Linked DNA regions of Nothobranchius furzeri. The protein of the gene in region 1 binds, or shares a complex with, the protein of each later gene. Links are inferred from orthologs where the notes say so. Each region holds a gene or a part of one and is shown in the gene's direction. Other genes may lie near its edges. The genes, in order: filamin-C and fblim1.

What was found.
Region 2: the proteins of filamin-C (region 1) and fblim1 are in contact, whole or in part, in an NMR structure (PDB 2K9U), measured with the Homo sapiens proteins. The link is inferred for Nothobranchius furzeri from reciprocal best matches to the Homo sapiens genes FLNC and FBLIM1. Residues at the interface, in NP_001449.3 of Homo sapiens: Thr2339, Ala2344, Gly2345, Gly2346, Leu2347, Ser2348, Ile2349, Ala2350, Val2351, Glu2352, Gly2353, Pro2354, Ser2355, Lys2356, Ile2359, Phe2361, Asp2380, Glu2382, Phe2387; in NP_001337080.1 of Homo sapiens: Arg8, Val9, Ala10, Ser11, Ser12, Val13, Phe14, Ile15, Thr16, Leu17, Pro19.

The regions. Positions count from the first base shown.
Region 1 is NC_091744.1:62,147,736-62,155,426, forward strand, and holds part of filamin-C, read left to right. Parts: coding exon 1-23; intron 24-123; coding exon 124-293; intron 294-383; coding exon 384-501; intron 502-583; coding exon 584-846; intron 847-940; coding exon 941-1,538; intron 1,539-1,697; coding exon 1,698-1,871; intron 1,872-2,603; coding exon 2,604-2,766; intron 2,767-2,883; coding exon 2,884-3,212; intron 3,213-3,292; coding exon 3,293-3,416; intron 3,417-3,605; coding exon 3,606-3,762; intron 3,763-3,852; coding exon 3,853-4,042; intron 4,043-4,137; coding exon 4,138-4,161; intron 4,162-4,282; coding exon 4,283-4,524; intron 4,525-4,606; coding exon 4,607-4,706; intron 4,707-4,947; coding exon 4,948-5,088; intron 5,089-5,212; coding exon 5,213-5,341; intron 5,342-5,437; coding exon 5,438-5,611; intron 5,612-5,720; coding exon 5,721-5,885; intron 5,886-6,039; coding exon 6,040-6,243; intron 6,244-6,324; coding exon 6,325-6,477; intron 6,478-6,562; and 6 more.
Region 2 is NC_091743.1:45,857,825-45,866,050, reverse strand, and holds the start of fblim1 (filamin-binding LIM protein 1), read left to right. Parts: upstream 1-3,658; 5' UTR 3,659-3,832; intron 3,833-4,010; 5' UTR 4,011-4,058; coding exon 4,059-4,437; intron 4,438-5,477; coding exon 5,478-5,620; intron 5,621-6,637; coding exon 6,638-6,731; intron 6,732-6,805; coding exon 6,806-6,975; intron 6,976-8,226. Other genes in the region: transmembrane protein 82, read left to right, coding at 2,164-2,348, 2,424-2,510. UniProt on the Homo sapiens protein: Serves as an anchoring site for cell-ECM adhesion proteins and filamin-containing actin filaments. Is implicated in cell shape modulation (spreading) and motility.

The DNA.
Region 1 (7,691 bases):
GGGTCCTGGTCTCAATAAGACAGGTGAGATGTGTTAAGTATCATCAGAGTGTTTTTGTGTGCAACAATGTCCACTGAAAGTGTTTGATTTGGTTACTGATGACGCTATCAAAACTAAATTCAGGTGTGGAGGTGGGTACGCCAACACACTTCACCATCTACACAAAAGGAGCTGGAAAAGCCAAGCCTGAGGTGCGTTTTGCCGCGCCAGGCCCTGGAGAGGCAGTTCGTGACTTTGAGATCATTGATAACCACGATTACTCCTACACCGTCAAGTACACGGCTCTTCAGCAGGTGTGGAGAGTTTGATGAAGAATATTATTAATAACCACACCCTCAAATGAGGAGGGAGTCATTCTTCTTCTGGCGTGCTTTTTTTCTCAGGGCAACATGGCTATTTCTGTGACTCATGGAGGAGATCCCATTCCCAAAAGCCCTTTCCAAATCACAGTAGCACCAGCTCTGGATATTGGAAAGGTGAAGGTGGAAGGGCTGGATACCAGTAAGTAACATTACCACAGGTTATCACACAATTGCACAGGGTATACTGATATTAAAGTTTTCCACTGCACTCTCGCTTGCAGAAGTGGAGGTGGGAAAAGATCAGGAGTTCACAGTGAACACAAAGGGTGCAGGTGGGCAGGGCAACGTAGGTGTGAAGATGACATCCCCCTCTGGTCGACCCATCCCCTGCAAGCTGGAGTCAGACAAAACCAAAGGCACTCACAGTGTGAAGTACATCCCTCCAGAGGAAGGACAGTACAAGGTTGATGTGAGCTATGATGGGAACCCTGTGATGGGTAGTCCCTTTGGGGTTGAAGCAGTCATGCCAGCTGATTCTTCAAAGGTACCAAATCCAATCTTTGACTTCCTGAAAAAAAAAGGATTAAGTATTTCAGTTACTTTTCTGTTGAGGGTTAAAACTGGCTGTATGTTTGTAGGTAAGAGCCTTTGGTCCAGGCCTTAAGGGTGGCATTGTGGGTAAACCAGCTCCATTCACTATTGACACAAAGGGAGCTGGTGCAGGTGGACTTGGCCTGACAGTAGAAGGTCCCTGTGAGGCTAAAATTGAGTGCCATGACAATGGAGATGGGACCTGCTCAGTGTCCTACCTCCCCACTGATGCCGGCGAGTACGCCATCAACATCCTGTTTGCTGAGCAGCACATCCCTGGCTCCCCTTTCAAAGCCAAAGTTCGCCCAGCCTTCGATCCTAGCAAAGTAATGGCCAGTGGGCCGGGCCTGGAGAAGGCCAAGGCAGGTGAACCAGCAACCTTCACCGTGGATTGCACCAGAGCGGGTGACGCTGAGCTCACCATCGAAATTGTGTCCGAAACTGGGGTTAAAGCTGAGGTGCACATCCAGAAAACCTCAGAGGGTACCTTCTCTGTCACCTACATCCCATCCTTCCACGGATCTCACACCATCACCATCAAATATGGTGGACACGCAATTCCCTACTTTCCAAAAGTATTGCAAGTGGAACCCTCCTTGGACACCAGTGGAGTTCATGTCTATGGTCCTGGGGTGGAGCCTAGAGGTAAGCTCAAAATGCATTTCTGTCTCGTGTGAACAACGGTTGTTGAATTACCACTGTCACGCAGAAATCAGCATCAGTAGGGATGTTTGATGGCTCTGAGTTATTAGGCTTATTTGAGTGCTGGGCACCAAATCACCTGAAGTGCTTTTGTGTCTCAAGGGGTCCTCAGGGAAGTCACAACCCACTTCATTGTTGATGCGCGTGCCCTTAACAAGGCTGGTGGCAGTCATGTAAAGGTCCACATAATCAACCCCTCCGGCACCAACACAGACTCCTACATTACCGACAAGGGCGACGGCACTTACAGAGTGGAGTACACTGCCTTTGAGGATGGTAAGAGCACAGAGAAAATGTGAATCAATAATTAATGAAGTTAAACATTTGCTACATCCAATGTGGAGCAAACAAAGGATTTTACGTTAGTGGAGTCAATGTGCATACAGATGGACAAATCATTAACAGGTGCCTGTCTCAGGCATAATTTGGGAATAAAGCAGGAGAGTGGGAAAAGGAAGATGGAGTGAGAGAGGGGTATAAATACAGAATGATGCAGTCGAGCAATGATGTTAGGGGCAGAGAGCAAGCAGGCAGTGAGGCTCTGCTTTATAAATAGTGCGCTCTGGAACAGAAGCTCTTAACCAGGCAGGTATGTGTGCTGAAGACTGCCTGCACACAACGGTACAGCAAAGGAATGACATGGGGTATTAATAGAGACCTATAACACAAAGCAAAGAGATCACAGAGCGCTTCTCCACCAACAGACATGCTCTAATATCATGGCAGTGTGGCTGGGAATATGCTGTATAGGCCTACTGAGAGCACTCTGTCAGAAAAATGTTGTAACAGAATAATGAATAGGGAACAGATGTATCGTCTTGTCTGTTCAGTGAAGCGTCTGTACTCTGGATGGCATCTTTTATAAATAAACAGACGTTTGTCTCCCTAAAAGGGAATTTGACTGGCCCATAATTAAAGGCGAGAGGCATTAGCAGAAAATATTTGCCTTGCTTTGAGGACACAAACAAAATGTAAAACGTTAGTCAAGATGTTTCTGTTTGCATGCAGGAATGCATCTGATTGAGGTGCTGTATGACAGCACGCCTGTTCCTAAAAGCCCCTTCAGAGTGTTTGTGGTGGAGGGTTGTGATCCTACCCGGGTCCGTGCCTTTGGGCCAGGTCTAGAGGGTGGAATAACCAACAAGTCAAACTTTTTCACTGTGGAAACCAGGTACTGCTTCAATCACTCAGAGAAGATATATGTGCAAGGAAGTGTGCAAATATTAAATTTTAACATTATAGAGTTAAAGAATGAATGAATAATTAACAACACTGGCTTCTCTCTCAGAGGTGCTGGTACTGGAGGGCTAGGTCTGACGATTGAAGGAGCCTCAGAGGCAAAAATTTCCTGCAAAGACAACAAAGATGGCAGCTGCAGTGTGGAATATGTTCCCTTCACTCCTGGAGACTACGATGTAAATATTACCTATGGAGGTCAGCCCATCCCTGGGAGTCCTTTCCATGTGCTGGTGAAGGACCCGGTAGACCCCAGCAAGGTGAAATGCTCTGGTCCAGGTCTGGGCGCTGGAGTGAGAGCTCACGTTCCTCAGACTTTCACAGCGGACTGCACCCAGGCTGGGCAGGCCCCGCTGGACGTCAAACTCTATGGACCAACAGGTGGGAATCATCTCTATGAGGAAAAGGACTAACGTATTCACTAATTAGATTGTAAGCCTTTGCTTTATCATAACTTACAGGTAGTGTTGAGCCTGTTGGTGTGAAGAACAATGGGGACGGCACCCACACAGTTCACTATACCCCGGCACAGGACGGCCCCTACACTGTAGCGGTCAAATATGCAGATCAGGAAGTCCCGCACAGGTATAGTTTAATCAAACGTGTGTTAAAATACACATACCTAGTCAGGTCATGTCTTTAGAAATGTCTCCATTAAAACTCTCCCTGAATGGTTTTATGAAAAAGGAGGTGTGCTACAGTCGGTTTTCCATCCTTCTTTTATTTTCTCTCACACTGACTTTGTTAATTACCCTGTATGCTGCGTCTCAACAGTCCATTCAAGGTGATGTCTCAGCCTGGGCACGATGCCAGCAAGGTTCGTGCCAGTGGCCCAGGTCTAGACACCAAAGGTGTGGCTGCCAGCCTGCCTGTAGAGTTTACCATTGATGCTCGTGATGCTGGAGAGGGGCTGCTCACTGTGCAGATTCTGGTGGGTTCAGCACAAAGCAACACTCAGCTAATAATCAGACTCATGAGCCACTTAATATTTAAGTAAATTTAATCTTTTTTTTTTCCATAGGACCCAGAGGGCAAGCCGAAGAATGCGACTATCCAGGATAACAGGGATGGAACCTACACGGTGTCCTATGTCCCTGACTCTACAGGACCCTACACGATCACTATTAAATACGGAGGAGATGAGATTCCCTACTCCCCGTACCGCATCCAGTCCCTGCCCACAGGGGATGCTAGCAAATGCCGCCTCACTGGTAAAAAAACCATTCCATTTCTTTAATTGTTCATGTAAATAAAAAAAAAGATATATATTATAGTTGTTTTAACATTTTTCCCTTCAAATTTCCAGTTTCAATTGGAGGACACGGCGTGTGTGAGTAACAAAGACTTTATCTTTCTGTTTTAACATCACTTCTACTGCACGTGACAAGATCTAGGGATAATTTCATGTCTGATGCCACTTTCTATTCATCTCTTCTCTCTGTTCCTAACAGCAAGTCTCCATAAGCTGCAAACCTCCGAGGATACAGTGATCACTGTGGATGCCAAGGCAGCCGGCAAAGGCAAGGTGACCTGCAAGGTTCTCACCCCACAGGGGATGGAGTTGGACATGGATGTGGTGGAGAATCACGACGGGACCTTTGACATCTACTATACAGCCCCTGAACCCGGGAAATATGTAATTACCATCCGCTTTGGGGGCCAGAACATCCCAAAGAGCCCTTTTCAAGTGATGGTGAGGAAAGTACAATTGAACGATCGCTACAGTTTTGTGGCTGGTGTGCTTTTTCTGAGCGTTTGTCTTATTAAACTGCCAGGCTACAAACGAGCCAGTGGTTCCCCGTGATACCGTGGATCCTCTCTTTCGTCCTGTCAACTTCCTGGTGCCGTTCACCCCACAGCAGGGAGAGATCACAGGTCAGACTAACTCAAATAATAACAAAATGTTAGAACGCATGACTAACAAAGATGAGCGGCAAAACCTGAGGATTCTGACTTCACAACATTTTATCTCAGACCTGTTTTATGTAAACTTTTAAATTCATATAAATGTACATGTTTTATTTCTACAGGTGGTGTTAGTAATCCCAAATAGTTTAGGGACATTCACAAATGCAAACCAAAGCTCAGAACTCATGAGGCTAATGTTTGGCTCTAGGTGAGGTTCGGATGCCTTCTGGTAAAACGGGTCGCCCACACATCACCGACAATAAGGACGGCACCATCACGATCAAGTACCAGCCCACAGAAAGAGGCCTGCATGAGATGGACATCAAATATGATGGAAACCACATTCCAGGTCAGCAGGGCAGAAACAGTTTGCCTCCTCTTTCTTCTGATTTTATGGGTGAAATCCCATAAATGTCAGTCAAAGCTGCATTCGCTCAAGTTTAATGTTTTCAAATGATTTCGTCTCCTCACAGGGAGTCCTCTGCAGTTTTATGTGGACGCTGTGAACAGCGGAGTCGTGACTGCTTACGGTCCAGGTCTGAGTTATGGGACCGTGAACAAAGCTGCTGCTTTCACTGTGGTGACCAAGAACGCAGGAGAAGGTAAACATCACCTACATTTTTAATATTTTAAGGGATGAAACATTTCTGTGCTAAATGGCTGAAAACGGTTGTCTGAGCTTTGCATCCTTCTCCCAGGTGGTCTGTCACTTGCAGTGGAGGGTCCCTCTAAAGCTGAGATCACCTGCAAGGACAACAAAGATGGCACCTGCACAGTGTCCTACTTCCCCACAGCACCAGGAGACTACAGCATCATTGTCAAATTTGACAACAAGCACATTCCTGGCAGCCCCTTTACTGCCAAGATCACAGGTGGGGAAATGCATCCTTTTCCTTTTGGGCAGAATTTCTTCTCCTGATATGTGTTTATATCAGGGAGTTTATTGTAAACCAAAGCATGAACCAGCATTTTTTATGTTAGGGGATGATACCATAACCAGAACATCCCAGCTCAATGTCGGCACTGCTGCCGACGTGTCCCTGAAGATCGCGGAGACTGATCTGAGCTCTCTGACTGCCAGTATCAGAGCTCCATCAGGCAACGAAGAACCCTGCCTGCTCAAGAGGCTCCCCAACAGACATCTTGGTGAGACGTTTCCTCACAACAAACGCTAGATAGCGAGGGAATAGAGCACTGATAAATATCCCATTGATGTTTGATTTATTCTGTTGAGATTTTCAGCTCTTTTTTCAGTCCTTGTTGCTGATTGCGTTTCTTCCGGCCTCTCTTACAATCACAGGCATTTCTTTCACCCCGAAGGAGGTTGGAGAGCATGAAGTGAGTGTGAGGAAAAACGGCATGCATGTAGCAAACAGTCCTTTTAAAATCATGGTTGGCCAGTCTGAGATCGGTGAAGCCAGCAGAGTGAAGGCTTTCGGCAAAGGCCTGGTGGAGGCACACACTTTTGAAATGGCTGAATTTTTTGTGGATACAAGGAACGCTGGTGAGTCTTAAAAATGGTTCTGCGCCATTCTTCATAAGTACTGCCAGGTAAAATATTAAACTGTTTCATTTGTTCCCCTAGGCTATGGTGGACTGGCATTGTCAATTGAGGGTCCAAGCAAAGTAGATATCAACTGTGAGGACATGGAGGATGGAACGTGCAGGGTGACATACTGCCCCACCGAACCAGGAAGTTATACCGTCAATATCAAGTTTGCAGAAAAACACATCCCAGGTCAGAATTTGTTTACTTTAAAATAAATAATGAAAAAATCCTGAAAAAAAGAAGTAAATTTGTGCATTTCTCTGTCTTTGTGAAGGAAGTCCTTTCACAGTGAAGGTGACTGGAGAAGGAAGGATTAAGGAGAGCATTACCAGAAAGAGACAGGCGTCTTCTATTGCCTCAGTGGGCAGCACATGTGGTCTTAACCTCAAGATCCCCGGTGAGTACATCATCCGGTCAGAAACGGTTAGAGTGCAGCGGTCGACTGCTTTAAAATAAACGAGGTTGCTGCAGACATGTATTGGTATTCTCACTGCTTCTTCCTCCTGGCTGCAGGAAACTGGTTCCAGATGGTTTCAGCGCAGGAAAGGCTAACCAGGACATTCACCCGCAGCAGCCACACCTATACCCGCACTGAGCGGACAGAGATCAGCAAGACTCGTGGTGGGGAGACCAAGAGGGAGGTGCGAGTGGAGGAGAGCACCCAGATGGGAGGAGGAGGAGGAAGTCCTTTCAGAGATGTTTTTGGAGACTTTCTGGGCAGAGAGAGCCTCAGCAGCTTCGCTGGCATCACCTCCAGACCGGAGGGTGTGTCCATATCTTTGCTTTTAAGTCATAAAGATAAAAAAAAAGGAACAAGTGTTTAATGTGCTGCTTTGGTCTGACTCACCAGTTGAGAGCGGTTCCCAGGCCATGACAGCACAGGTGACCAGTCCCAGTGGGAAAACGGTGGATGCTGACATTGTGGATGGAGGGAGCAGCACATACAGCGTTCGCTTCATCCCCCAGGAGATCGGACCGCACACTGTGAATGTCAAATACAGAGGACAGCACGTACCTGGAAGCCCCTTCCAGTTTACAGTAGGACCCATGGGGGAAGGTGGAGCACACAAGGTCCGTGCAGGAGGACCTGGCCTTGCAAGAGGCGTGGCTGGAGCGCCGTGTAAGTTCACACTGTGGGGGTCATGTTACTGGGACGAATCCAGTTTGTACAGTGAAGTCAAGTGAATTAGAAACAAATCTAATATAATCCATGTATGGAATTTAAATTTGTTTTTTATACAACAAATCACAATTTAACATGATTAAAAATAATGAAAATGTGATGCATTGTACATTGACACAGTAGTAAAAGTGGCTGGATTAAATACAACATGCACATTTATGAGAATTTTAATTAGATGAAACTTTTTAAGGTGAATCATCCTCTTACTTAGCTTGTTTGG
Region 2 (8,226 bases), on another chromosome or scaffold:
AAAAGTTTAAAAATGAAAATAGACAAGCAATTTAAATGTGGTCAAAGAAGTTTTAAAAAAAACCTAACTAATTTGTAAATATGCTGTTTACTGAATGGACTGTTGACCTTTTCCGTATCAGACATTTGGCCTACCAGTTGTGACAGAACTGGTGTTTTGGCGAAGGCTGCGTTCCACATCTGTAACAGACGGAAACAAGCTGAACGTCCTTCCAAATGGAATGCGGACTTTGAAAAGAACTCTAAATTATTAGCTAAGTTTTTAGTCAGTCGTTTTTTTAAGTGGAAACTTTTGCTGATTGTAAATATTTAAATAGGTTGCTTGATTTTTAAATAGTATATTACCATTCAAACTAGTTAACAACAAAGGCAACATTTTGACCACATTTAATAAACCGAATTATATTTTACATACGTTTTTTTTTGCAGGAAATCCACTGCAAACATTTTCAAGATAAACAGTCAAAATACCAGCTAAAAACATAATAACACAAAATAATAATTAGCCCCTCTTAGCTAACAGGATGTTGAATGTTTTACACTTAACTGAAATAAAAAAAATATGGCTAACAGCTGGTTTTCAGAAAGAAAAACACTTTTGGTCATCAACTATTTGGAAATTTGTCAGACAAAAATACAAAGAAAATTGTGGACTATAGATTTAAAATAATGGCATTAAACAATTAAATGTTTTTGATGAGTGATCAACTGAAAATTAAATAACATTTTCTCAGAAAGACCGGTCGCTATGTTCAGTGCCCCCCTCAACAAACAAACAAACAAACAAACAAACACTACCTAGATAAAAAAGGTGCATAGTAAGTATTAATGCAGTGAGTTTCATGTTATTTATATTGTATTAAACCCACACAGCGTCTATATTCTAACACTTCTGCTCTCATCATAAATTATGCCAGTGTGCCTTTTCATTAATTGCTGAATTTCACCCAACCATTCATCAGAGATCAAGCTAGTCACAGATGGTGTCATGGTGCTGTTCGGCCAATCAGCACGGGTCCGGGACGCTCCAAATATGGGTGTGTCTGAAGAACCGAAAAACTGCCTTCCTTTAGCTCGGTCTCTTCTCATATTTAAAGTCGGATCTCAAAAACGATTGATGGTAAGTTAATGAACCTCTCACATGACACAGCTGCCTAGTTAAGCACTTCTATTTGCTGTGTGTTAAACTGTATGAAGTTGGTGAAATTATAGCATCAAATCAAAGCTGCCATGTTGTGTCATATGCCCTGAACAAGTTCAATGTTTTATATTTATACGCAAAATCAAAATTTTTGATACATATTCTTCATATTGGAAGTAATAATATTGAATGTATTTTGCTGTTTCTTGCTAAGATTTCCATGGAAATTGGAGGACGAGTGACGAGGGATGATGATGATGATGATGATGATGATGAAGAGGAGGAAGATGGCACTGAGGCTAATCTTTTTTTATATAACAGTTGAAAATATTCTAATCTATATTTGATCTATATTGTTCAGTAACATTCAGAAATGTTCTGCTGTAGTCTGTTTTTGTAAACTTTTGTGTAAAGAGAACATTCTGTATTATTCTGCAGCTGTAGTGTTCTAGAATGTGATTCTAATGATATTGTTCTGCATTAATGTTTATTGCACTTGTTCAGGGCCAACCACCGTATATGAACACTTTATTTTCTGTGGATTTCTGCATGAAAATAAACATTTTTGAAAATTGCAACAGCAAAAGGAAACTTTTGTTATGAACCACAACAGGGCAGCAGTAGCTCAGCAGGTTGAGCGGGTTCGATCCCGGCTCCGGACAGAGAATCCTGCTGTTGTGTCCTTGGGCAAGACACTTAACCCACCATGCCTGCTGGTGGTGGTCGGAGGGACCGGTGGCGCCAGTGCTCGGCAGCCTCGCCTCTGTCAGTGCGCCCCAGGGCAGCTGTGGCTACATCGAAGCTCATCATCATCAGTGTGTGAATGTGTGTGTGAATGGATGAATGATACACTGTAGTGTAAAGCGCTTTGGAGTCCTTACTCTGAGAGGTGCTATACAAGTGTGGGTCATTTATCATTTATCATTTAACGGCACTCTGGGATTTACATTTTAAACTTACTTGCCGTAAAGGGTTCAAATGAAGGCAGGAACTGATGGTAACAAAATGCTTCATCATTTCCAGAGGAACAACACCGGCTGACGGTCTCAGAGACCCTCTTGCGCACTGTAGTGGTGCGACTGGGAGGCTTACTGGTGCTCATGCTGGCAGTGGGAACCTGGTCTGATGTGCTTCACGTCCTCGTATCTTTTATAGGAGAAGGAGTTTGTCTGCTGTCTTCTGAGGATCTGCTGCAGGCCGCTTTAAAGGTTTATTACTCTCTTGGCTTTGCACAACCGAGCCCAAAGGTTAACAGAAATGTGACTTTAACGATTCTGTTCCAGGAAGAACACGAAACCAGCTTCAGCAAAGAAGAACGAAGATTTAGTCCCAGCACAAAGACAGGAAAGTTCCTGTTAGATGACAGTTAATGGGATGCTTGCCTCAAACGCCGGTGACCTTTTTACACCTGGATGTGCTGATGAACGGAACAGCAGTTAAAAATGAGAATTTTGTGAACTTTGATGTTGAAATTCTTGGAAAATAAAAAATCCAACACAAAAAGGTGCTCGCCGTGTGAATCCGTTTCCTGCTACTTAAACGTAACGCCTGAAAGCGTGCTGTTGGAGAGGTTCACAGGGTTTAATGAGGATTTGGGCTGTTGAGGGGGTGGAGCGTGGTGGTCTTGGGTTTGTATCATCTGTGGGCATGCTCCTTCCTGCAGCCGTGACATCACTGCAGCATTCCTTTCCACAGAGCTGGAACAACAGAGACCCCCATCACTCTCCTCATCGCTGGCTCCCGTCAACCCTCTCTGCACATTCCTGCTTCACTCTGACCCACATACGGTCGGGTTCTGTCTCCAACCTCCTGCTTGACTTTTAGGCCTTCTGCTGATATACTAAGATCTCGTTTCACAATAATTATTCTCCCTGAAGCTACGTCTGCACGTCTGAGCACCAAACCTCCCCCCCGAAGAGTCTGATAAAGCCCACTGTAATCAAACTGTGTGTTCGGGTCTGGACATCTGTGGGGCCCAAATGGAGTTAATACCACAAGATTACTGATAGTGAGTCAAGGCTAAAGTGATATAATGTGGGGGAAGGGAAGCAGGAAAGAGGGAGAAGAAAAGGGGAGGCAGCCCCGACGAGGGAAGTAAGAAAAGTAAGGTTTACAGAACAATAAGCTGCACAAGAAAGAGAAGAAGAAAGGTTTGATGTAAAGAGCGAGGCAGGTAGAGTCACATCCTGCTGGCATGCAGAGATAAAAGTGGGAGGTGTCTCCGCTTGTCCACGTCAAGGTGAAAGCCTTTCACTCTATGCAATTGTAAAAACACTACCTTTGTCCTTTTGGAGTGACTGCACAGCTATTGCACAACTAAGCGTGGGTGTGTGTGTGTGTGTGTGAGCGTGTAGTTGCTTGAGAGTTTCTGTGATTGCCAAGTTTTCATAGCGGATGAATGTGTCATAATTTTTACTGAACTTTGCCAGAGATTAGTTGTTCACTTTTTATGGTCAGGAGGGAGGCTGTGCTGTCACTCAGCCAGAGGAGGAGGAGGAGGAGGGGAGAGCTGAGGAAGGAGGGGAGATAGAGGAGGAAAAGGAGTGGCTTTTCTGCAGATAGTCACCCCTCTCCACCGGAGTAAAGTCTTCTCTCAGAGGGAGCTTGTGGGAGTGAGAATAATCGGGAAAATTTGAGATACCAAGCAAGGAAGACAGAGGAAGGAGAAGGGAGAGGCACGTTTTAGTTTCAGGTACGTCAGAGCACTTCAGCGTGAGTGGGTTTGAGAGAAACAGATGATACAGATCTCTGCTTTTTACATCTTTAACCATTCATTATGGGTTGTGAGTTGAGCTGCGAGAGTGTGAACGGATTTCTGCAGAGATGACAAAGACTGTTGGTGAACGAATTCAATCTAAACATTTTTCTAGATCATTGTTCTGAGCCTCTGCCAGGCTGTACGGAGGTTCCATACAGCCATGGCATCAGCAGCTCCACCAAAAAGGATGGTGTCCTCTGTCTTCATCACACTGGCGTCTCCTCATCGAGCCACCGTGTCACAGCAACAACCTGCCCTCCAGGCCAGCACTGGCCCGGTTAGAGACAAACAGCACAACACTGTCAGAGCCACCCCAGGTGAAAACGCACCTGTTTACAGATACAAGAAACAGGACCAACCATCACCTGACACCTACAGCTCAGTTAATAGCAGAGACTGGACTCATGGAAGGCCCTCAACATCATCATCATCATCAGACCCTTTGAGCCCTAAAGTGGCCCCCAATGGATCCACCAAAGCACAGCTGCAAGAAGTAAAGGACCAGACAAAGAGGATCATTCCCGGTATTCATAGTGAAGGTTGGCTAAAAACTTAACTATGTGAAATACTCCTCAAAGTTTACTTTGACTATGACCCCATTTGGTCGGTCACGCTTCTATGAAGGGAGACTGCATTCATTTATGTGTATAATTATGCAATAATCCAACTTTTTTGGAACCACTCCCAATTATTTTGAACACGTCCCTAACTTTGATGACAGTTGCGTGAATTTCAGCTGTCGGACTTCAACTTTTCCTTTGTCTGGACAAACTTTTTGTGGAGATAAAGGCTACAAGTTGTTGGAAAATGTGGAAAAAGGTGTGTTTTTCCACGTGTATTATTGGTATACTTTAAAGGTGCAATTTTATTGTATTCAATTTTACTGTGACTAGTCACCAAAAAGTTTAATGTCTCAGTCATGTTGGCTGCAGGATGTCAGTTTTCCTTCCTCCAAAAGGAAGAAAAGGGATGTAGTCTGTGTTTACAATCTGGGAGCCCACATGTTAGCCGAGTCTACGCGAGCTAACGCTGCAGCACTGGATTTTGTAGTTCGACACCGGCTGGCAAAACGCAGCAGCGCCTTGTAAAGATCCTAAGCCAGTTACAGGTGCTACCCAGAAGTTATTTCTTGTACCCCTAAGAAGTCACTGCATATTTTTTGTTTTACTCTAATATCTGGTAAAGAAGGCTAGAGGCTAACATTGAGCTAATAAAGTTAACAGTGAATTAGAAACCCATAATTGTCTCAAAATAAATATCAAGCTACTTTTTCAGTTGCAAACAACTTAACATTACAGTGAAATGTATTTATTTGATTATCAATTTACTGCGTATGACTCGTCATCACGCATCATCAAGAATCTTCTGGTGCTAGAGACCGTGGCTGTGAACAGCCATGAAACTGTGGGAAAGTGGTGAGAAAATAACAGTTTTGAAAATGGGCTGCAGTAATTGAATGTGACCACAGGATGTCCTTGTTACTTAATTCTTACATAATGCACCTTTAAGGCCATGTAAGTAAAGGAAAATGTACAAGTATTTTTTCCTACTATTTCATATTTTTTTCTTTGCCAAACAGAGCTCTTACCTCCTCCTCCTACTGATGTACCGCCCTCCTCTCCTGGAGGAAAGCTCTCTGAGGAGTTATCACTTCCACCACCACCTCAAACATGTCTCCTTCATCTCCAGAGCCAAGACCAGCATCCAGTTAGCAACAACAAGGTATTCAAACTTCCTGCTAATGTCTGTAAAAAAAAAAGTAAATTGTGCTCCGTAATCTCTATATAATCTACAGAAAGATAAGGAAAGTGGTTCTGAGGCTCAACAGGATGTCTATTGTTTTTTCTGGTCCATTTTCTAGTCTTCCTGTGGTTTTTGTTCTTTACAGGATTTTTTTTTACCCAGCACAATTACGGCCTCTCCAGCTGTAAGTCATTTAATCAACGTTGTTGCAGTTTATTAGTTCAAAAGCCACAAGTGATGACTAGAGATCCTGTCAGTAAGATTTAAAGGTGTGGTTCACTGAAAAGCCATTTTTAAATTACTTCTGATTATAGTCGGTTAGTTTTTCATGCAGGCTGAACATGAAAATAGTCTCTGACACCCATTAGCTTCTGATAGAAAATAGAAGGTGAAACCTTACGATTTGAAAATCTTGACAGATCTACATCACACTGTCACTGAAAGCTAGACTCACCCATCCTGACACACGACAGGGAAGGCTGGAAACAGCAGAGAATGTCTCAGTTAACCATTAGCATTAGCCACTCCACCACACAGCAGAACTCTTTCAGGCTTCTGTTATTTGTGGAGATAAAACATCAACGTCGCAGAGCACAGTCAGTGGCAGAGTCACAGTGTCGTTAGCCAATCAGAGGCGAGATGTCCAGACATCAGGAAATAGGACTCCAAACCCTGCCGCCTGAAGCTCAACTCTGATGTGGCTCACTAGTTCCTGAAACAGGGGCACCAGGACACTCATTCCTACTAGAGACACTGTAAATGTATTGATTAAATGAGTGAACCACACCTTTAAAGCTCTTAAAAAACGCAGAGTATAACTTTACTGACATAGCTGTGGATGACCAAAACAAATCTGATAAAATCAAGCTCAGATCTTTTTGCTCTCCATTATCAAACTCAGTTGGCGATAATCTTTGCAGGTCCCTTCGTACCCCCCCCCCCCCTATATTTATCTCAGTTTGATGAAGTTTTACATGAATGGGATTTTAATTTAAGGTGGAGAGATGCACGCCATCTGGTTGGTCGACCGGAGATTATGAAACCCATGAGATCCTTCAAAACAGCCAAGACACAAACAGGGAAAGCAAAGGTACCACCCACACCCTTTAAACGGTACAGAGATCATAACCCTTTATGAACTTTTGCTATTTGTTTCAACTGCAGACGTGTGCGGTTTTTGTCGGAAAACTGTAGCCTTTCCTGAACCTGCTTTAGAGGCCCTGAACAGAACCTACCACGAAAGCTGCTTCCACTGTAGATCCTGTCACGTCCCCCTGGCTGGTAAACAGTACTACAACAAGGCAGGAATCCCACTCTGTGAAAGCTGCTACCAGGTCTGAGTCACCATAATCTCACTTAGAACCACAACACACACACACACACACACCTATACACACACAAACTCTGGAAAAGTTGTTCACACCTGCAGCTGTCATGTTGTGGTGTAGGTATCTAACCCACGACATACAGAATCAGTTCAGAGGCGGTGGTGAAAGTTGTAAACAAATAATTTATTAAGAGGAACCAAGGGAGCAGCAAAACGTAGCTGATATCTTCAACGGGGTCGGGAGCGGGAATCTGCAGACCGGCGTAAGTTAGGTCCAACTTGAGAAAAGGGGAAACGGGTAATATTGAATCTGCAGAGAACTTAGTCTGTAGGAGGGAATTGCTCGGGGTGGGGGGGGTGGGGAGCAATTGTTGGTCTGGTCTGGGTAGATGATGGTTTCTTGGAACGGGGGGGTTCCTGAGTTGGAGGTGGAGGGAGCTGAGCGAGGAGAGGGTGCGAATCCAGGTGAGAGTTGGTGGGCTACTGGAGGTGGAGTTGACCAGGGAGTAAACCGAGAGACGAGCGGAGATGAGTTTCACCAGAGTTCAGCCAGTCAGAGATGGGAGTGGAGGTTTTGTCTGAAAACAGTAACAGAAGATCAAAAAATGCAAAAATCCAAAGTTCAAAAGGCACGAGAGCTCAAAGCTAAAAACACTCAAATGTTCAATCTCTAGATGGCTTAAAAGTACCCAAGGAAGAGTAATTATCCAGCGAAGTGATGGGGTCTCTCAGCAGCTTAAATACTCCCTGGCCGGCTGATGAGCTGATCGTCTACAGCTTGGCCACCTCCAGACACGCTCACCTGCAGCGGGAGACTCAAAACCAAAACACAGATGGCAGGAGGAAACCCAGACCATGACAGCAGCTGCATCTTACACTGCCGGGCTCAACAAAAGTGGCAACCTGGATCTATTATTTTAGGGTTGCTGCAGTTTTCAGTAACATTATTAGCTCAAAAAAGGAAGGCAGATACCTGAAAACACTGAATATCCACGTTATTCCATCATAATTTTCACTCATGGATTGGCCACCAGAGTCTGGACCTTAATACCCTGTAGTTGTGCTATGATGACTCTGAGCAGTGGTCAAACTCTCCCATCATCAATATAAGATCCTGGTGAAAAATTAATCCAATACTGGATGAATATAAATCTAGCTAAGCTGCAGAAACTTCTTGAAACAGCAAATGGGAATATGTGCTGTAAGCGTTCCAATTACATATTAGGTGCATATTAAGTGCGTGACCTTGTTGTTATTT